4 linked regions of the Drosophila melanogaster genome follow. The protein of the gene in region 1 interacts with the protein of each later gene in a pairwise test. Each region holds a gene or a part of one and is shown in the gene's direction. Other genes may lie near its edges.

Region 1 (5,178 bases):
GCCGAGCCCGTTCAAGCGTAATTTAATTTCTTGCACCATTTATTTATAGTGGTCCGGCAAAAGAACTCGGGCCAACAGGCAGGATAGTTTAGCCTGCGGGTAAATTATGGTTCCATTGCCAATTAGGTTAGGTCACAACCAGGATGTCCCATTGGGGATATATGTATGTATGTATGTAGATGGATGCACAGGGAGTACACCTAATACCAGTGCAGGGCTGCCAGGAAAATGTCATTGTTTGGATTTAGAATGTGACATTTACATACGTACGTAATATAAATATATAAATAATATCATTCTCTGAAAAATATCATAATGCACTCTTGTAAATTTAAAACAAATTTAATTTTAAGATAATTGGTTGAGATAAACATAGTTAATATTTTCAATTGATCCTTTAAATTTTAAATTGCAGGTGAATATCATCCCTGTGTGACCGTTGTATGCGGCATGGTTCCATGTCTCTTTCCCGTTATTCATTTCCCTCTGCTTTGTTTTTTTTTTTTTTGGTTTTGTTATGCGGTGGCATCTGTTTTTGCCACAGGAAAATGGTTGAGAGAGGGGAAGGCAGGGGGCGAAAGCGGAGAGTGCGTAAAATGCGTTTTAATTGAAAGGAAATGTTCAAAGCACATGTGCATCTGCTAGTCAACGAATTGGTTGGGAAAGGGGGTGGCAAGCCGAATGTGTCTGCTAATTGAATTACCTTTCGGTTGCTTTTCCCATTAGAAGTGCCGACAAGTTCTCGAGCTGCTTGTTTGCTTTTCATTTAATACCCATTTTGATTTAATTTTCGTTTTTCCTATTTTTCTGACCCAATTTTGTTTTGCTTTCGTGCATTAGCAGCTGTCTCTGTCTATCGCTGTGCAGCCAAGAGAGTGACCAAGAGAAACGCTCTCTCTCTCTCTCTCAGTTGTCCAGGACTTGCACTTTTCAAACGGTTTTTTAGGACACTGAAACAAATTGAATCTGTTTTTCTTTTCTATCAAATTTTTAGTTCTACACTTTTCTTTTTCATGATAGTTTCGGAATCAACCAATTTCTATTTGATCCAAATTAACAAAAAACAAATAACAAAAAATTAAAAAATATAGAAATAAAAGCTGCATAAAAAGTTGAATTCTAAATCATAAATATCATTTTTCCCTATTTGTCTTTCAGGCTTCCAAGATGGGTTCTGGTGATGCAGAGAACGGCAAGAAGATATTTGTGCAGAAGTGCGCCCAGTGCCACACCTACGAAGTGGGCGGCAAACACAAGGTGGGCCCAAATCTTGGCGGGGTCGTGGGTCGCAAGTGTGGCACAGCAGCGGGATACAAGTATACCGATGCCAATATAAAGAAGGGCGTTACCTGGACAGAGGGGAATTTGGACGAGTACCTCAAGGACCCGAAGAAATACATTCCCGGAACAAAGATGGTGTTCGCAGGTCTTAAAAAGGCTGAGGAGCGGGCCGATTTGATTGCCTTCCTCAAGTCAAACAAGTAGAATCGCCTGCGAAACAACAAGATCGGCCACCATGCTATCCAGAAAACTGCGCTTAAAGACTACAAACATATTCAAAAGATGACGTATTTCACTTGGATTTCGAAACTTTGATTGGGAATGGTCGAGCTCAAATACATTTCAAAAAGGTTTACTTTCACTTTAGCCAATTAAAGTTGATAAACCAAAAACCCTCTTCTTAATTCAAGTTGTGTGCGACGCGGGTGGAGGAAAGTGTTGTACCAATCAGCTTTGGTCACAGTTGGTTTTATGGTCCTACTAGCAAAATGTAATAAATTGGAGAAGCTTGTTAAATAATGCAAATTTTCCAGAGGCTTTCCAATATAGTCCCGTTAATAGGGGAAAAAATTACTTATACGCCGTGTGGTGGATAAATACGGGTACAAAAGCTTGCGACATTTTTTAATGCGTGGCCCCCGGTCACTCTGGTCACACTAATTACCTATCGACATAACGCGCGCTCGTCATTCGTGAAAAATCGGCGACGCTCGACGTTTGTGTTCAATGTAAGTAGTGGGTGGAATTTTTGTATTTTCAAGTGACGTAAATATTACCTTGAATAGTTATTGATTATCAAGCCCCAAGTCAGATAAAGATTAGAAACACTTCCGTGTCATTTACGTAACATCCAGCAGCTGTGTTTTGTTCTGAAAATGATTCGCATGCAAATTTAACGTATTCTTTGGGGGATGATTCAGGTTACATAAACGTGTCCTTGTGTGTGTGTGTATAAGTGTGATTTTTTATTAGATATTTAATAGTTTATTTAGCAAATATTAGCAGTGGTGTATTAATAGTAAAAATAGCATCCCAAAGTCACATTGCCATTGAAAAAAGCCCCGGAGAGAGTCGATTACATGAGCAAAGAGAGTGGCGTACCCGATCATCAGCTGTCTCGCTCGCTCAGTGGCAAAAATTAATTCTTGGATTTTTTGTCAATGCTTCAGCTTTGGAGTCTTTAAGCGCGCCACGTGGTTGCTAAGCAGGTTTTGCTTTCTGCGATGTGCAGTTTTCTATAATATAAATAAAAGAGAATTCACCTCTGCGAAAAGGCGGCTTATGTAACATTCGCTGCTCTCAGGAAACTTGGATGTTGGCCCAATTTTCACTCATCTCTTTGTTCTCACCACCTTGCTCACCCACACAAGGAAAAACACAGCTGCCTTTGGCCTGCTTCCAATTTTCCAATTGCACTTTCCCTTCATCTCACGCACACTCACGCACGGCAATTAACTGAAAAATACTCAACAAGGCCAAATCGGATGTTGACATTGTTGTTGCTTTGCCACCTCTCACTGCCAAAGTGCATGATACTCTACACAGAAAGAAGTGAAAAAAAGGTTGATATTAAATGCAAATTATGTGTAAAAGCGCACAAAATCAATAGTCTATATATATTAGGTTTGTTTTTATAGACAAATGCATATAAAATAAAATTAGTTTTCTAGAATTGAAAGAGCTTCAGCTAATCGAATTTCTCTCAGTCTATGTGCGTGATGTGTAGGTGAATTACTCACCGCAACGGTACTTTGCACTCTCAAGTTCAAATTGCTGCATGCAATTTATAATCCGGCAATTAGCAGGATGACCGTAACACAGACCCTGGAATAATAGAATAGTTATGTAAACAACTAACGTTTTTCGTATTATGATGCTTCCTGGAAGTTTTCCGCCTGTTGCTGAGCAGTTCTGACGCAATTAATCGGCGACTGGCAAATATAAGCGAGTGAGACACAAAGAGAGTGTGAGAAGGAGAGAAAGAGTGTGGGGGCAACATGTGACCAGCGTCTGAAGCTTTTTCAAAGTGTGTTTCTGATGACGTTGCGACGCCCTCCACGCGCGTATTAGTGAGAGCAAAGTATGTGGGTTAAAAAGGGGGTGGCCGCAAATGGAAATGCAGACTACGTTAGATAATAATTTCGGGCCTTATCAGAAACAACAGCCGACTAATGCACTTAGCATGAGCAATTTTAATAATTCCGTTTCCGCAGGGAGCTTATCAATTGTTTACATAACGGGGCAAGGGGACAAATATTAATTCACGGTCCATAACTACCTACATTAACCCATTATTTCCCAAGCATGGAAATTTTTGATGATATAAAGACGTTATTATTTTAATACCTTAAAAATATATAATATTATATAAGTAACGTTGGGAAATCAACTGGTTAATAAATTTTAAATTTCGGGTTTATTTATTCAATAATCTTTTGATAATGTATGGCTGAAAGTGAAGCTTTTATCAGTATCTACACAATGGTTCATTGGGGCTAATAATAAATGGTATCAAATATCGTATAACTATTTTTTGCAGTGAAACCAGAATTTCGGACTAAGTACATAAGCAAATGATATAAAATATATATTGTAATCAATTTATCAGAATAGAACAAATTAATTGGTAGCAGTTATGAACTTTGAACCATTTAGTAGCCAGTTTTTTAAGTTTTTCAAACCTAAGATGTAAGATAACAGATATATTGGTTACCCTTGTTTTATGAACCACTCATTAATAACAAACATTTCTTTTTACAGTCGAGTCCGTGTTAACACATTAATTAACCACATAATCCATAATGGGCGTTCCTGCTGGTGATGTTGAGAAGGGAAAGAAGCTGTTCGTGCAGCGCTGCGCCCAGTGCCACACCGTTGAGGCTGGTGGCAAGCACAAGGTTGGACCCAATCTGCATGGTCTGATCGGTCGCAAGACCGGACAGGCGGCCGGATTCGCGTACACGGACGCCAACAAGGCCAAGGGCATCACCTGGAACGAGGACACCCTGTTCGAGTACCTGGAGAACCCCAAGAAGTACATCCCCGGCACCAAGATGATCTTCGCCGGTCTGAAGAAGCCCAACGAGCGCGGCGATCTGATCGCCTACCTGAAGTCGGCGACCAAGTAATGGTGCTGTCCATCAACTTACCCACAACCACTGCAGGATGTCAAACTGTATTATTGTGTTCAGTCACAGTCCGGCACGCAAATGCAGCAGCAGCAACAACTACAACTACAAATCAACATAGTACAGACCTAAAGAACTACAATTATGTTAATTATAAAGTTTAAATAGGACAATTTATTATTTAATTTAAATAAAAAGTGGAATATTTAATTCAAACCCGATGAGAATTGTGACATCCACAAAAAAGTTAAATAATAAAAAAAGAACTAAAAAATGATATAAAATCTGTTTTATGCGAGGACCTGGTTTTTGTAGCTCGCAGGTCAAAAAGAATAAAAAAAGCTTCTTCAGATTTTTGACTCGGGCAACTCAAATTAAAAATAAGAGATACCAATCATATTTATAAAACAATTGTCCTGGCAATTTCTATCAATAGGTATCTGTTAGTCGTCAAACTCGACTGCAGCATACTCTTTGCGTCTGTCAAAAATGTTGTTGGCTGATCTATATAGGCCTTACTCATCTGAGTCGCACAAAGATGACCACAAATCATCCTGGGTTGCTGCAAATTCCTTAGTTCATTGCGTGGAGGTAGACATCACTAAAAACATCCAACAAAGAAAGAGTCGATACGTTACGCAGAAACATCACAATAAGATTGTATTACTGAGAGAGAAAGTAGAAAACTATTAGGGTCGAAATGCTCTCTTAATGCACATTCTATTTGGCCAATCGTTAAACAAGAATACACTGGTATTTTTATATTTTT
Region 2 (3,758 bases), 3.0 Mb from region 1:
CGTACTGATGTTGCAATGAAATGACAACGGCGCAAGAACAGCAAATATAAATGCAAATAAACATTGTGTGGCAAGCATTTGTGGCTCGTTACATGCTAACACAGAGCCACTCACGTAATGACTGTTTACACGTTGCTAACCTTATTAGTTGGGTTTCGTACATAAATACACTCGGAAAAACCAAACATGATCTTCTTGCACTTAAAAAAAACAGCACTCAAATGTACATATATATTTTATTAACAAAAAAAAAGGCACTTCTATAATATATAAAACATCATAAGCTATTATCCAAATCTTTCATCAGAGTGTGTGCATCCTCTAGGAGCCTTCGAATCATCAATGCTGATTTTCACAAATGCGGTCAGATCAGTTGGAAAAACATTTTTGTGGCGAGCTGTGTATATGCTTACGTACAAACTTATTAAATTTTCCTGCTTGAGTGGTTCGTTTTGTGTTTGCTGGATGATGGGTTTTATCGGAGCCAAGTCAAATGAAAATTGTTGATTATTTTCTAATGCGCTCCATCAGCTCAGAAATGTGAAATATTGCTATTGAACGTCGCAAAGCCAATGGATTGATAAAACGAACACCACACCCCACACGGACTTAATTATTTTGCACAAAATGCGATTTATTAAAGAATATTTCACACCAGCCGGAGTGGGGAATCGCATATCAATTGTGATTTATTCAACTCATCAATTCAAGCATTTCGATTACTGTTTTTCAAGATAAAAACGAAATGAAAGAATGAGTCTTGAATATTATGGCAAACTGAAAAGGCTTGAGCAGGAATTTAAAGTAAACTAAAATGTCAGACTGACAGTTGCATTCGGAGATAAGCATTTGGTAGCACTAGACTGAAATTGCAATCCAACGAAAAGGATTCGATGCAGTAAAGTTGTCACAAACAAAATGCACAAAAAGGCACACAAAAGCAAATGTCATTCTTAGGCAAAACATGAAATTTAATATCCAAGCGAATGACGCTTCCAAGTGAAATTAAAAACCGAATTTCCAGTCACACAATGCCCATTCTATTATACACACGTATGTATATACATTCGAGTTTGCATAGAGCAGTTGATATAGTGTAAATATTTTGACATGGCAATATGTTGTCACAATCATGCCTGTGTGTCGTCTGATGAGTGTTTGTTCGAAATTCGGCCATTGTGGAGCTGAAGATGGAAAGTTTATTTGTTTGCCCATGTCCCAGCATTTGCTGTTAATTTGTTAAAATTTCACTTTATAAATAAAATTCAACTCCTCGCTTCGCTTCGCATCGCTTCTCTGTGCAGGCTAAGTTAAAACGTGGTCGCCGAAGGTTGGCTGGACGTTTGGCATTATTCCGGGTTGTCGTACCATAAGTTTTCCAATTTGCATAACTTCCGCAGCAGTTGGGACTATAAATATGCAAAGGGTTTTACGACCGCACTATATGCAAGTGCCTCAAGAAAACGTTTTCTCAGACCCATTCGCCCCCACCCCACTTGCTCTTGGCCCACTTGGATGGATGACTCCCAGTGTTCTGTTGGTTGTTTGGCTGGTTTCAGTTGCGCTTGAATTGAAATTGAAGTGTCCTAAATGGTAGAAGGCTCAATGAGAGCTGTTTGCATAACAGATGATCGAAAGGCCTAGTATTTCTTAGCTTAAGAAAAGGATTTTTATTTACAAAAATAAACTATATATACTATTTATATAACTATGCATAACTATACACATAGTTGGCTTTTAATCAGATGCCAGCTCGGACACAACTCAGCGCCGACGTAAAAACTAACTTTTTGATCGAAATATTGTAAAAATCGAGTTTCGGATATAGGTATAAGTACATATCGAACTCAGTGGTAAGTGGATGAGAGTGGCTCCATGCCAAAAAAAAATAACATCTCAGATTCTCCAGCGACATAAACTTCGGTATAGAAATCAAACCATTTCGTCATGGGCTTTGATCTAAACTGCATTGTGGGCCACGTTGACGAGGAGCTCATCTGTCCAATTTGCACAGATGTCCTGGAGGAGCCGGTCCAGTCATCGGAATGCGAGCACGCCTTCTGTCGCGCCTGCATCGACAAGTGGATGATCCAGAAACAGATTTGCCCGGTGGACCGCTCCGGGCTACTGACCTCACATCTGGTGCCCGTTTCGCGCCTAATGCGCAACATGCTATCCCGCCTAAAGATCAAGTGCACCTTCTCGCAAAGCGGTTGTGCCCAAATGCTGGCCCTCGAGGAGTTCCGGACCCATGTCGCCGCCTGCGAGCATAATCCCAAGGTGGTTGTCGAGTGCAGCAAGGGGTGCGGAATGAAGGTGAACATTCTGGGAATAACTTGAACTGCTTAAGATAGCTATAATATTCCCGCTAAAGGTACCCAAGGACGAGATGTCGCGCCACAACTGTGTGTTCGAACTGCGCGAGCTGGTGGAGAAACTGGCGAAGGAGGTTTCCGATCTGAAGCAGAAGCAATCCGATATGGAGGAGCAGAGCTCCAGCCAGCGCCGAGAGATGGAGCTGTTCCAGTACTATATCGCAGCACTGCGATCGACCAATCCCATGCTGCGCAACATTGGCGAACAACTGGACCGCTTCTCACTGATGCAGTGGGGCCATGGACTCCCTCTGGCCAACATCCATACGTGGGGCAGTCTGATCTCCACGCCGGACAATCCCATGCACCTGATGGTGCGCGACGTTTTGCGTGAAAGCGGCTGTCCGATGCATATGCTCAATATGCTGGTTGAACGTTGCCACGAGGATCGCTGGCCCGAAGGTCTGATGACGTTGGACGATCGCCGCGAGAACCAACATCTCATGAGTCGGTATGTCACCCGATTGGTGCCCGGTCTGGTCATTGGCAAACCGTGCGTGGTTGTTCTGGGCGGCGAAAACACCCACATGCCGGAGAATCTGCGCCCCATCCTCGGACTGGTCATGATCTTCGTCGACGGTGTGAATGAGGTAATATTTGGCGAAGAGATTATTTAAGCCAATGATGGGTCACCACATCCTGCTTGTATCCTCCACATCTAAATTCATTTTGGTAACACAACACAAAAGCGCAACTGGCTGCCCGTTTTCCACGTCCTTTGTTTTGGAATGATGGTCATGTTGCTTCACTGTCTTAAATTACACGATCGTACTTCAAAAGTCGTCAAAATGAAAAATATAAATATGTTTTATCAATTCGAGTTACGTAAATAGAAAACAAACAAATGGTCGTGTTATTTTTTAATGTCGGACCTTATGAATAATCTGAGGGCTCCCAATACTATCGAAGAGTTTTTATGAAACGTATGTAATTTTGAAATTTTTAAGGTTTTGTTAAACTTCCCTCATCGATTGGTTCAGTGCAGCAACACTCACAGTTTAAAGTTGTCGTTGTAGCTGACAGATATTCTTCTCGGCAATTACGCGGCAATTATAGAAGCTCAGTGAACACTCGGGCGTATGCGTAATGTTGGAGCGAAATTAAATAAACGCATAAGCTGGGATTGAGGTTGCTCCTTCTGTGGGTGGGCGGTTGGTTGGGCTTGCGGTGGGTGCATCAAGTAAAACTTATAATGGAAATGGTAAAAGTTTGGCTGTGCTCGGTTCGCGGCAGTTGGCGACACCATTTGGAAAAGTTTTACAAATTGTACAAAATTTAATTTCCCAGCTGAGATAAATTTTCGGGACCATTACGATTTTAGCCTGCAATTGAAAACGAGATCTCTGATCAAATGAAAATTAATGGACTGCAAGCAGCTTACTT
Region 3 (7,748 bases), on another chromosome or scaffold:
CGTACATTTGAATGTTTGCACGATGCGAGTGCGCCATAAATTAAAAGTAAATTTGCCAAAATAATTCGTGCATTTCAATTAGCTGCTAACGGCTGGCAATTATGATGATGATTGCATTCGGTTGCTTTAAAATGTGGCCGATATGCAAATGTTATACATTTCATAGGCATTTATGCGGAAATTGGTTCAACATTTAGCAACAATATTGTGGCGGATTTTTGGCGAGCTGTTTGCATATGGTGAGATGTCTAATATATGGGGCACATCAAGAACGATTGTGGTTGCATTGTGTTTTCAACGATATATTATGCTAAGTGGCATTCATGCGTTCACCTTTATCTTTAAGATTCTACTAAACGTAGAATTTTTACATTTAATGATACACACTTCTTAACCCATATCTTAACATTTCTCAACCAATTCGTTTCTTAAAAGTGCATATAAATGCAACAGTTGAATTCCCTTCGGCAACATAAGTGGCTTGCATTTTTTTTTTTTTGCTGCATCACGCATACGCAGCGTGTGCCGCGAAGCAGCATGTTGCATGCTCAATATGCGCGGCATGGACTGTTGCTTCTGAGTCGCATTATTATTTATGGCCGCATGCCGTGAAAAATGTCAGTTGGCGACAAGTGTTGTTCAAATGGCATGCACGGTTGCCACAACAACAGCAGCAGCAGCAGCAGCAATAATGACAAACCATACGGGCATACAAAAGCATTTGGCGCTCAATTTGACGTGAAACGTGTGGAAACCGAAGGAGAACTTGGGTACGGGGAAACTCAATACAAATAGCTCTGCCTGTCCTTTGTCGTCGACATATCCTTTTGCCACCCACCAGTGCCGGCGGACCGAACACCCCAAACCCGAAAAACCGGAGAGGGAAAGCCACAGAAAAATGGGCAACGCAACGTGGAACAGGCGAGCAGCAGCGAGCAGAAGTAACCACAGACATCAGCAGCTAAACAGCCGAAGTGCTGAGTCCAAGCCGAAGGCTGGCCCGTTCGGTTGCCAAGGCAACTTCGTCGGGTTCACAACAAAAGGATAAGCCAAGCCAAAGTCCTCGGGACAGGACGACCAGCCAGCCAGCCAGTAAACTAGTCAGCAAGTCAAGCCGGAGCTCAGTTGCAGCAGCGCAACGCATTTGCCCAGACGCACAACTCGCGGTTCGCGGCCAAAACTAAGAGTTACGGAAATAGACTTGCCTTGGCCATCGATCGTTCTACCAGTTACACTCAGAAAAAAAAAAGGCTATAATGGCTTAAAGTTTTAAATGCATTGAGTTATGCAAACAATGTGGCTATGAAAAAGTGTTAATTCCTTAGAAAGGAAAAAATCGTATCGAATTCCAAACCTCTTTGCAAGTTCATGATTATAGTGCATTAAAATAATATATATATGTACATAATACTACATAAATAATAACATATGATAGATAAAGGTGACGCAAATTTAATTTCAACTGTGAAAACTATTAAAAGAAAATAAATAAACTTTAAGAAGATATTAATGAAATATATCCTCAAACTTACTTAATCCATAAATTTGTATGAAATTCGAAAATAAATATTTAAACATATGACAAGTCAAGGAAACTTTTATAAAAAAGTATTAAACTTGTGTTTCGTTTAGTGTTTGTGTTAGTTTTAGTCCAAAGTTTTATGTTTGACTCGGTGCTGCTGTCGTGCTGAAGTCGCCGTAGCCTTCGGCTCGTCGATTTGCGAGGGCTAGCTCCTGGCAGTCGCCTTTCGTCCTTGCTGCGGTCTAGAGCCGAGGTATTCGCTGTTAGCCAGGCTAGATGCGCCTCCTTCGGGGCTGAAGTGTGCGTGCTAATGGCCATGTAATGAGTGCGCCGCGCTAATCGTTATGCAATCGCCGTGGCTCGATTTCCACTCGCAGTGAAATGTCTCTCAAACGTTATGCAACTCTGCTGGCCTTTGGTCAAAATCAGAATCAGAATCACACAATCCCGGCCACAACAATATCGCTGGTTTCCACAACGGAACCACCATTGCCGCCATCATCATCTTCGTCAGCGTTTGGAAGTTTCGTCAGCGAGGAACAGCTGCAGTCCCAGGAGCATGTCTCATCCTCCTCCTCGATTGTCACACACACCACCTACTACACCGGCGGATTGGGGCAATATCACCAGCAGCGCAGTGGCTCCGGATCCGTCATCTCGGGCGTCGGTGGCGGCGGAGGACCTAGTGGACCCCAGACATATGCAAATGTTGTCAACGGCAATGTGAATCTGCTGCTCGGCGGGTAAGTCTGTCCTGCCAGTTGGAACATACGACTGATGCGAAGTTCAAGCGATAAGTTAAGTCACCTTTTGGCCCGTGGGAAATGCGAAAGAGTGTCTGGAAGTTTTGGCAAATAGCTGAGCATTCCCCTCAGTCATTTGGCAATTAATTAATTAGAGTTGCCAAGAAAGTTCGCCCAAAACAATTGGCTTCGCAGCTAACGAGAGCGGAATTGTTCAAGTATTTACATTTTAAAGAAGCTCTCTTCAGTATTTTTAAAGGATACCGCAATCATTTCATATAGATAATTCATACGAAATGTGGCTGTCATTCCAGCTAATAGTTTACTGCCACAAGTTAGTTTGCCATTCAATAATCAGAGCTAACCACTAAGTTTTCGTTCGACAACAAGGAGCATCTTGAAAATTCCAGTGAAATGTTTGCAGCAAGTACCCCTTTGGTAAGAACACTCAAGAAGCATATTACAAGATACTACCATAGATCATAATGCCTGGCACCACTTGATTTATGGGAAGGAGCTGCGAATTAATAAGCATCAACAGCAAGAGAAGATGTCAGGCTTCCGCTCTTCTGCGCTGAAAATCATAATTATAATTGTGCCGGGGCATTTTTTTACTTTCGGTTTTGCTTCGTCGAAACCCTAGCATCCTAGCACTGGCTTTGCTTGTTAATAAAATGTAAAAAAAAAAAAAAACTTTCATGTGCAACACGAGCTATTCTATTTTTTCGGAGTAACCGCAGAGCAACAAAGAGGTTTTGTAAACACGCTTTTATGGGGTTTTCTTAGTGTCTGCAAACATCACGCGCGACCCACACAAGCCAAAAAAAAAATTTATTTTAACTACTTTTTTATCGATTGTCTTGGGCAGTTCATTGAAAATAGCTAAAATAAAAAACCGGAGTGGGGGAAATCGCTGTTGTCTGTTTTCGTCGCTGCGGAATGGGAAGGCCGGAAAAGCTGAGCCCCCCAAAAAAAAGGGCCCTAATGAACTGTTGACATGCGAGAAATTGCGTGAACCGGGAAAAATGAACAGCCAAAAAAAAAAAACAAAAAAAACGAGCGAGAGAAAAATCGGAGGACGTACGTGGGCCAGTGGAAGACAGTGAACAGACAAGTGGGACACAATGTTGCATTCTAAAGTGGATTAAGTGACGTCATGGAAATGCCTGGAGCTACGAAATCGACACGACACGAAACCATTTCCGACCAAATAAACCAGTGGGTTTCAATAAACCGACATAAATTGGCCGACAGCGCTAAAAGGAAAATTTGATAACTGGCAATCCAGTTGATAGTGGTGGGGTCATTTCGGATTTATTGACGAATTAAGGAACAGATAGAGCTACACCTTTCCGAATTCACTGATACCAGCTATGGGGAATTTGTTGACCAAATTTCAAGGCATATTGTGTTTGTTTAATAAACAAAAGCACTTGACATAATCTGACTATTCTAAGCCACCTAACGACAGACAATTAAAATTTGATAAATCCATAATATTAGCTCTTTAGACAAAAGGCGAAATGTGGAATATTATTAGGCTAACACACACATTCTCCAAGCCGATTTGAAATGTGTGTGTGTGTGTGTGTGTGTTTGTGGCAGCTTAGTTAAATCGAGATAATTGGCAATATGCTCTACATTTCATACTTGCGAGCATTGAAATTGCCCTTTGTTTGGCTGCAAGATGAGTTGGGAGTCGAATTAAAAGCCAAAACTGCATTATCTAATTAAAACCGAGAAGGCAAGAAGAGTAATTTCCGCTACCATGATGTATAAATGTCAATATTTCGTGGCAAATTTATGCTATCAAAATGCTGGCAAAGCCAACCCAATATAAATAAACATACAAGCACTAGCAATTTGTATGGCAAAATTAATAAATACCGAATGCGTATTAATACGTTATTATCGCACTGGTCATTTATCGAAGGCCCGCAATCAATTTCGTGTCACCAGCCAAAGCAAATAAATATGTTTGAATGTTGGCCTGATGTCTGTTTCGTCGTTGGAATAACATTATAACATTCAATGAATAGCATTGCATTCACATCCCCGTTCGATTTAATTTGTTGCAGAGCAATGCTTTCCCTGGTGACGACTATATTGTGTGTGGTCTGCTATTGTTGCCATCGCAACATCAAAAAGCGAACGGAGGCCGCCTACAGGCAGCAGCAGCATCAGTGGCTCGAGGGCGATCCCAACATGGAAATATACAGCGTGGAGCAGGTGAGTTGGAGGAGCTAATACGAGTATATGCTCAAAGCCTATGCATAGATGGTCCATGATGCCCGGGGTTCTGGCAGAGAGCTTTGTTGTCCACCCAGCCATAGTTGCAAACGGATGTCAACGGCATTCCAAGTGGATGATAGTTGGGCCACAATGGAAGTGGACGACGGACATCATTGCTTATTCGGGGGAAACCAGAATTTTATTAATCATATCCAGTAATGGCAGTATGTGCTATTTACTTCTCTTTGGTGGTTCAAATAAGTAGCACACATTCCAAACGTGTGTGAAAAATGGGAGAGTAAGTCTGGCTCTTAAATAAATAAAGTTATACAAGTCCTAGGCTTACATTAACCAGATTCAAAGCATGCTAAATACCTAAATGAATGGCAATTTATCAGTGATTGGCTTGTCAATTTGCTTTTGTCAATACGAATACAATTTCAAAGCGATCAAATGCTAAAAATCAATTAGCGACTATTAAGTTTAAGTGCTGGCTGAAAAGAGTGCAAATATATACATATATGATATTAAGCAAACTACACAACAAACTTTCCAAGCAAACAATTTAGTTTTTTCGATTTCAGCTTTCAGCTTCAATCAAATCAGCCCAGTTTTCCAATTGGTGGCCGAAATCACAATAATAATAATAATAATATCCACCATTCTGATGTTTTAGGCATTTGGGCGCTAGAACAACACACAATCCGGCCATAATTGTCCCTTTTCAAGTGTAAGCCAACATTTCGTGGCGACAGTTTGAAAGTAAGTCGAAAACTGAAAGTGCGGGAGAGGATGGAGCAGCAGGAGTGTAATGGATATTTATGCGCCGCATTTAACAGGTGCCACATCCGGGGGAAAGTGGGTTCAGTTGACCAAAAGGGCGCGACAATTGCGGCTGGCCATACAGCCAGCCAAGCCAGTGCAAGTGGCCCAGAAGTCGCACTCACTTGGCCGTGCTCTTTATTAGGTTACGAGCCGCCTTCCCATTCGGCCCACAATCCACCGACCAACCCGCAAACCAACCAAACAACCATCCAACCACCCACCAGCCCCACCATAGGCCATCATTCAGTTCATTGTTGTTTGTTGGCCCGCTGGGAAAGGGGGGTGGGGGGAAAGTGGCGGCAAAAGGCTCCACGTAAATCAACGTTAGTCTGGCCAGGCACAGATGTCAACTGCGGACAGAAGAAGGCGGGTTTCTAGCACGGGAGCATGGGAGTGGCAATAGGAATGAGAATGGGATTGCAGATTGCGCGGCAGAGACAAATAAATTTATGATGTGTGCAATTTAAACTTTTTATTTGATCGCGTAAATTTCACTTGTCCACCGCGTCTCCATTAAGAAAGTAATTTACAGAGCGACCAAGCGGAGATCGGCAATTAGTCACGACCTTGAGAGTTATATACCAGCTCCACATCAGGGAAAAATTACATTGCTTTTAGAAAATCAAACCTTACAATCTTTGCAAATTCCTCTTTTATCCTCCTGCTAATCGATTTTAATTGTTCGTTTAATCCCTCAGTGCTACGAGACTTCTGGCCTGTTCCTAGGCGACTCCACTGATGGTCTGTCCGCCGTGCCCGCCTTGCACCACGAACCACCGCCCTCGTACGATGCAGTGGTGCTGCACGAACAGCAGCTCCACCAGCAGCAGCTGGAGCAACAGCAGCAACAGCAATTACAGCTGCAACTGCAGCAACAGCAACAGCTGCTGATGCAACGCGTCTCGCCGCCGCCAGGATACCGATCCTCGTTGGACATCAGCGGCCAGCCGGCAACGAGCTTCGGTCGCGGCACACCAGATGGCAGTGTGGATGCGGTGGCCAGTGGCAGTGTGCAGTGCGCACCAGGAGGTTCCAATGGCCTGCTGGTCAACAAGCAGTTGCAACTGGCCCTAAATGCCCAATCCTGCTGCTCGCTGCAGCGGGCCGAGGTGGAAAGCATGTGGAATGCTGCTGCGGCGGCGGTGGCTGCCCGGAACGGAAATTGCCTGGAAATGGAGACGCTGCAGGTACGTAAGCCGGCACAGAATGTCAGATTGAACACCTTCGGACGGCGGTACCTGCAGCAAAGCCATCAGCATAGTGCAAACCACTACCGGCGTGGCTGTCCGCTGTGCGGCAAGTTCCGCTATGAAGGTGAGGTCGATGATGAACCACTGACCGCTCTGTCCGTGGAGAGCGGTCTGAACATGGGCGGGCGCAGGGAGGAGGATGAGCCGTCTATCTGCCCCTGCCCCAGCGACATCGACAATGGCAATGGCAACCACATTTCTGGTGACGATCTGCAGGATGAGGCCAACGGCAATTTTCTGGCCGCCACTCTCGATGAGCAACCTCAAAATGATGCCGTGCTCTTTTCCATAACTGCTGCCAACGATGAAAACGACAACGCAGCAACATCGGACACACCATCAACTTCCGACGCACCAGCAACATCCCACGGGCAATCGGGGGAGGATGAGCTGGCCACAGGCCAGCAGAAGGAGCAAGAGGAGCAGAACTTGGACAACATCAACGAGAATGGAATCATCAGCCTGGACATGAGCAAAATCATCGATAGATCGGGGCTGCCCACATACGAGGGTGCCATCAAACTGGAGTCCAGTGGTTATGTGTGAGCCTAACAAGCAGTTCACATTAGTTGTATGGCTGCAAACCGAAACCTAAACCACAATCGTGCTTTAACTATGATTAAGATAGGTTGAGATTGGTGAATTCATGTGTTATTACTGCAGAATAAGAAACTAGTTTAGTTTTCAGTTATTTCATTGAATCTCAACCACCTAAAAAGATGGCTAGAATCTTTCTTTGATATGCTATGAAAAGCACACTTACTTTAGGTGTTTTTGAGTTAAAAAGGTTGACAAAAATATCACGCTCTCAGTACAGAGAAAATAACATTTTAAGCAAAACGGATAACAATAATTTTAACGTTTAAATGTTTTAGAGCTAAGCCAGTGCATATCCCTGTAAATGTTCGTGTCAAGTACTCGTATCAATAAAATCAAAAATTGTAATTGAACGCAACAAGCGGTTTAATAAGCAACCTCAATCCGCAACCTTCGCCTTATTCCACGCGAACAGTTTTTAGTTTAGAATGCTCGGCTGGGCGCAATCCGATTGATTTTGCATTAAAAACGGAGGCGGGAAACGCAGGCGGGATGATAAAAAACGAAAGCAGAGCAAGAAATGGCATGCAAACAAATCGCCAAAGCCAACGTCTAACAAGCGGCAAGAAAACAGCAACA
Region 4 (4,773 bases), on another chromosome or scaffold:
AGAATTTTTGGGGGCTCGTCAATGGGAAAAGTGCATTCTGTTGAAAAGTTATCTGAAAGATTAGATATAAATGATGAAATATTTTGACGGCATGCGTTTTATACTTATTAAGGTTAAACTTCAGACGCCTGACTCATAACAAACGAAACAAAGAACAAACTACAACAATGTTTCGCCTAGAGCCTTTAAAAATATTTAAGAAGCCATTTTCCATGCTTCTACTGAACTGACCCAAACAACACGAGTGTAACCTCTTTGTAAAATGATCTAGTACTACGCCACAGTTAAGAACAAATTAAGTCCTTTCCTGAGCAGTGCATTGTTTGTTTACTCGTCTGTCGTCGTGCACAGTATGTGTGTATGTATGTTTATATATTTTTGGCTGTGTGTTCAGCTGTCTCCGTTATAAATACACCAAGTTGCACGGCGTGAGCAATTGATCTACTCTTATCACAAGACAATTTGGCACGGCCACCGGCAGCTGGGAACACAAATAACAATTTGTTTATTTTAGACAATATTACTTCGTGGGGATTTCTGCGCATGCACGTTGTTTCGATATAAATGTAAAAAAAAGTGCGACCAACCGGCGAGACGAAAGAAAACCGACTGACATTGAGAGGCCAAGAAATAAGCAGTGGTGACGTAAAGAAAGATAATCCCGCTTCCGTCACAGGACGGATAAAAAAGCATGGTAAAAAAAAACAGTCTTACCATTTGGCACTCAATTAGAGGGTGACCCCAAAAGTATGCTACCATATGCTGCAACTATACTTTTTTAAATCTACTTCGGCAGCGCAATAAATAAATGATGACCCAATGGGTAATCTTATTATTATTGTTGTCTAGAGTCTAGCACATTATGTCAGCATCAACCATTTTGGACCCTTGCGGTGAAATCATTGACAGTAGCTTTTGATGCCCTGGTTTGGATATCCATGTGACCGCACAATATAAAAGCGGCACATGACGCCAAAATAAGTGACGACACTACTAACGGCAAACGAAGGCGAAACACAAGTTGATCGAATAGAATGTACCCTAGCTGAAATGAAAGTTAATCATATATTTTAGAAGCATTGGAACATCATAGAGTATAGAAGTAAGTCTCTTATACTCAAGAAATTCATTATTTTAAGATCAACCAATTCTTTTAACCAATTTATAGCTCATTATTTAATAGATTTTTTTAGGGCCTTCCTTTTTTGGAATAGGTCACATCATTAAGTGCCTTGCATACTAATTGTACACCTTGCATACAGTAGTAAATAGTAAATATTTATTCGCATAGCGATATGAAAATTATCATGCCCATAGAAAAAGCATTTTAGCAATAAAAGCTTGCTTATGGTTCTGATGACTAAGCAGCAGCTTTTGCCAACCTGAGTCATAGACCTCTTAAGCAAAACTAGGTGACAAAACTACCTTAGTTATACCGAAGCTTACATGCCCTTACCACGAGGTGAAAGTCCAGGGAACAAAAAGTTAAAAAGGAAATTACAATTATCTAATATTGTGCCCATGTACAAAATAGTTATATGTACATTTGTAAGTAAAGAAATTTTTTTTAAAGCTATGCCATTATGCTAGAAATTATCAGCCTTTAATTAAGATTTACATTTAAGAAAAATAATTGCCTTTAAAATAATTAAAGATAAGCCTTAGCATGTGCAGTATACCGCTATGTGAATAAGTTAGCTATTCGAGCTGGTACAGTTCGAATACTTTCTATATGGCCAACGATCTCCCACTTTGCAAGTGAGAGCGCCAAAGCTCTTGGAGCTTTTACTCTCTCACCGTCTCGGTTTTTTAGCATTGCTTACCTCGCCGGCATTTGGGCTCCATTGGGGCAGTTTGAATCAGAATCTCAGTAAGCGAACATCGTTGATTGAAACAGCAATCATGCCAATCGGTGAGTTTCCCAGTGGGTGTGGGTGGAGTGCCCTGAGCAGTTGGATAATGGAATGGATAATTGGGTGAATTTAAAGATAGGGAAATGTGCGGCGGAATTTTTGGCCCACGACCAAAATAGCATTGTGTCGTCCAATTCCTAGAATCGAAACATCCCATTCTTTATCTATGCTGGGTTTTTACCAGTGAAAAATACAAGCGACTTTCACCTTGTGATCGTCCAGATTCAATTAACGGCAATATGCTATACATATTGGACTGCCTTTATTTGGCCTAATTTATGACCCATCGAATTGATTCTCGACCAAAGGTGTCCGAAATTGTTCACCATATGCGATGAGTCACTGGTCTTCGCCTTGAACTCCGACAATAATCAATAGGAATTCAGCAGGGTTGACCCTAGGGAGGTCAGACGAAAGATGCACCTCCAATGATGTCATGCGAAATAATGCTGCTTGAGAAACCATTCGTGTAATCTATTCAAAGTGAATAGCACAAACCTCGCATATATCTGGGCAAATGTTTGTCGCTCGAGTGGCAGTAGAGCCGGCTCAGAGCTCAAAACTCGAAATTAAGCTTGAGTGGAATTAGCTAGAACAATTTGTTGCGAAGAACTGATGGCGATCTAAATGACATCATGCGAATGGTGCTAATAAGCAAGCGAAAACAAAAACAGACGCTAAACATGCTGATATATGTATGTTTATATGTACGTAGAAACCTAACAAACATAAAAATAGCTACGAATTCTTTCCAGTTCAAGTATTTTTTATGACAACATTCTCATGTTTGAGGTTGTTAATTCAAACCTCAAAACTTTCCCACCTTTCAAAGTAGTAGTGGGTACAGTTGGCTCAGAAAAACGTAGCCGAGTGTACAGTTGCCTCTGAGAATTTGTACTAATATGCCATCTCATTTGCAGAAGTCAACACCCCCGATAAGTTGGAGTACCAATTCTTCCCCGCCAGCGGTGGAGTTTTTACCTTCAAGGTGCGTTCCCCCAAGGATGCTCATTTGGCACTCACACCCGCGCCCGAGGAGAACGGTCCCATTTTCGAGATCTTTCTGGGAGGATGGGAGAACACCAAGTCGGTGATCCGCAAGGACCGCCAGAAGCCCGAAGTCGCTGAGGTGCCCACTCCGGGCATCCTAGATGCCGGAGAGTTCCGTGGCTTCTGGGTGCGCTGGTACGACAATGTCATCACCGTTGGCCGCGAAGGAGACGCCGCCGCCTTCCTTTCCTACGATGCTGGTAGCCTGTTCCCGGTCAACTTCGTCGGCATCTGCACGGGATGGGGTGCCAGCGGCACCTGGCTGATTGATGGTGAGTTTACACTCTGTTCCACGCCTTTTCTATCAAACGGAAAGCACAGGTGTTTACCCTCTCTGATTAGTTTACCCATCGTAATGATCTAAGTTAGCTATTGTTCTACAGCTGCTCAATGGCATCTATTGTCTAGTCAGCTGCTTCAGTTTGAATATCGAGTATTACTATACCCGCTACTCGTAGAGTTGGTACTATTGAGTACTGATCAATAACACTTAATTGCTCTCCAAGACTATATCCTTGCTATAAATATGTATTTGCCTATTATATATACATATATGTATAAGATTTGCTAATGATTTCATGAATTTCTAACAAATGCCACTATTTCCTTGCAGAGCCCGCTCCATCGGCTCCCGTCATGGGCTTCGCCGCGCCCACAGGAAGCGGACCAGGATGCTGGGTGCCCGCCGCCAACGGTGAGGTGCCACCCAACGCCCTCGAGGGAGGATTCGACAGCAGCGAGCAGCTGTACATCGCCCGTGCCCGCCATGAGGGCGACCTCATTCCCGGCAAGCTGCATCCCTCCCACGGAGTGACCTACGTAGCCTGGGGAGGTGGTGAGCACGGCCACGCCGAATACGAGGTGCTGTGCGCCGGCGGCGGCCAGTGGTTGCCCGTGGATGCCGGAAACATCCCGCCCAACGCCCTGCCTGCCGGAGAGACCGCCGAGGGCGAACCACTGTTCATCGGCCGTGCCACCCACGACGGAACTATCACTGTGGGCAAGGTGCAGCCCTCCCACGGATGCTGCTACATTCCGTACGGCGGCGAGGAGCTGGCCTACAAGGAGTTCGAAATCTATGTGACCAACTAAGCCACGGATCGAATGTCCAACGCACTGAAACAAAACGTTTTAAATCAGTTAATCTGAGCGCTTTACAGTTCAACTGGTCGCAGAAATTTTATTTTATTTATATGTGCATTTCTACTCAAAACTGTTAAAGAATCTCTATATTATGTCGAAAAGTTTATTACATTGTTCAACGAAATTGGTTAATAAACAATAAATATGTTTAAGAAAATAACATATCTGAAATAGGCACTTATTTGCATTCATTAAGCTTGGAAATAAATATAAAATAAGCTGAATAGCTGCTTTAATTTTTCAAAAAAGTGGTGTGTTAAGATTAGTTGGATTTTGGTTTTAGTGAATCTAACAGTTCTATCGCAATCATTAATCACCTTTTAATCCATTTGTACTCAATGAAATTAGTATCAAACATTCTTTTTTTTTAATAAAATCATGACTGAAATGAAATGACTGAAATCTATAGATTAGTTTAAGCAGGCAATTGAAAATAATTTACTCCCACTCAATGAAAATCTATTCCTAATCTCATTATCAGTGAACCCATAAAACACTCATACAAAGTTAGTTGAAATGTTGGCAGTACAAGGAACATATTGCTATATATATATATATTTATACCAAAACATGTTTTCTTTTATTCATTTTTAAAATGAATGAAACATATCATATTGGCCTATTTACATTTAAATTAAGGGTATAACTGAGTCGGTTTAGTCTATCA

Evidence for each region.
Region 2: the proteins of Cyt-c-p (region 1) and CG9014 interact in a two-hybrid assay, tested with the Drosophila melanogaster proteins (one large-scale study listed by BioGRID).
Region 3: the proteins of Cyt-c-p (region 1) and s-cup interact in a two-hybrid assay, tested with the Drosophila melanogaster proteins (one large-scale study listed by BioGRID).
Region 4: the proteins of Cyt-c-p (region 1) and CG10527 interact in a two-hybrid assay, tested with the Drosophila melanogaster proteins (one large-scale study listed by BioGRID).

Annotation. Positions count from the first base shown.
Region 1 is NT_033779.5:16,717,968-16,723,145, forward strand, and holds Cyt-c-p (cytochrome c proximal), read left to right. Parts: upstream 1-1,964; 5' UTR 1,965-2,009; intron 2,010-4,041; 5' UTR 4,042-4,082; coding exon 4,083-4,409; 3' UTR 4,410-4,677; downstream 4,678-5,178. Other genes in the region: Cyt-c-d (cytochrome c distal), read left to right, coding at 1,168-1,485. UniProt on the Drosophila melanogaster protein: Electron carrier protein. The oxidized form of the cytochrome c heme group can accept an electron from the heme group of the cytochrome c1 subunit of cytochrome reductase.
Region 2 is NT_033779.5:13,721,627-13,725,384, reverse strand, and holds CG9014 (uncharacterized protein), read left to right. Parts: upstream 1-1,742; 5' UTR 1,743-1,853; intron 1,854-1,900; exon of another isoform or gene 1,901-1,909; 5' UTR 1,910-1,947; coding exon 1,948-2,316; intron 2,317-2,374; coding exon 2,375-2,992; 3' UTR 2,993-3,224; downstream 3,225-3,758.
Region 3 is NT_033778.4:12,493,935-12,501,682, forward strand, and holds s-cup (stanley-cup), read left to right. Parts: upstream 1-1,737; 5' UTR 1,738-1,903; coding exon 1,904-2,265; intron 2,266-4,343; coding exon 4,344-4,494; intron 4,495-6,020; coding exon 6,021-7,118; 3' UTR 7,119-7,525; downstream 7,526-7,748.
Region 4 is NT_033778.4:21,069,864-21,074,636, reverse strand, and holds CG10527 (uncharacterized protein), read left to right. Parts: upstream 1-1,847; 5' UTR 1,848-1,902; coding exon 1,903-1,912; intron 1,913-2,741; exon of another isoform or gene 2,742-2,833; coding exon 2,834-3,235; exon of another isoform or gene 3,236-3,576; coding exon 3,577-4,055; 3' UTR 4,056-4,269; downstream 4,270-4,773.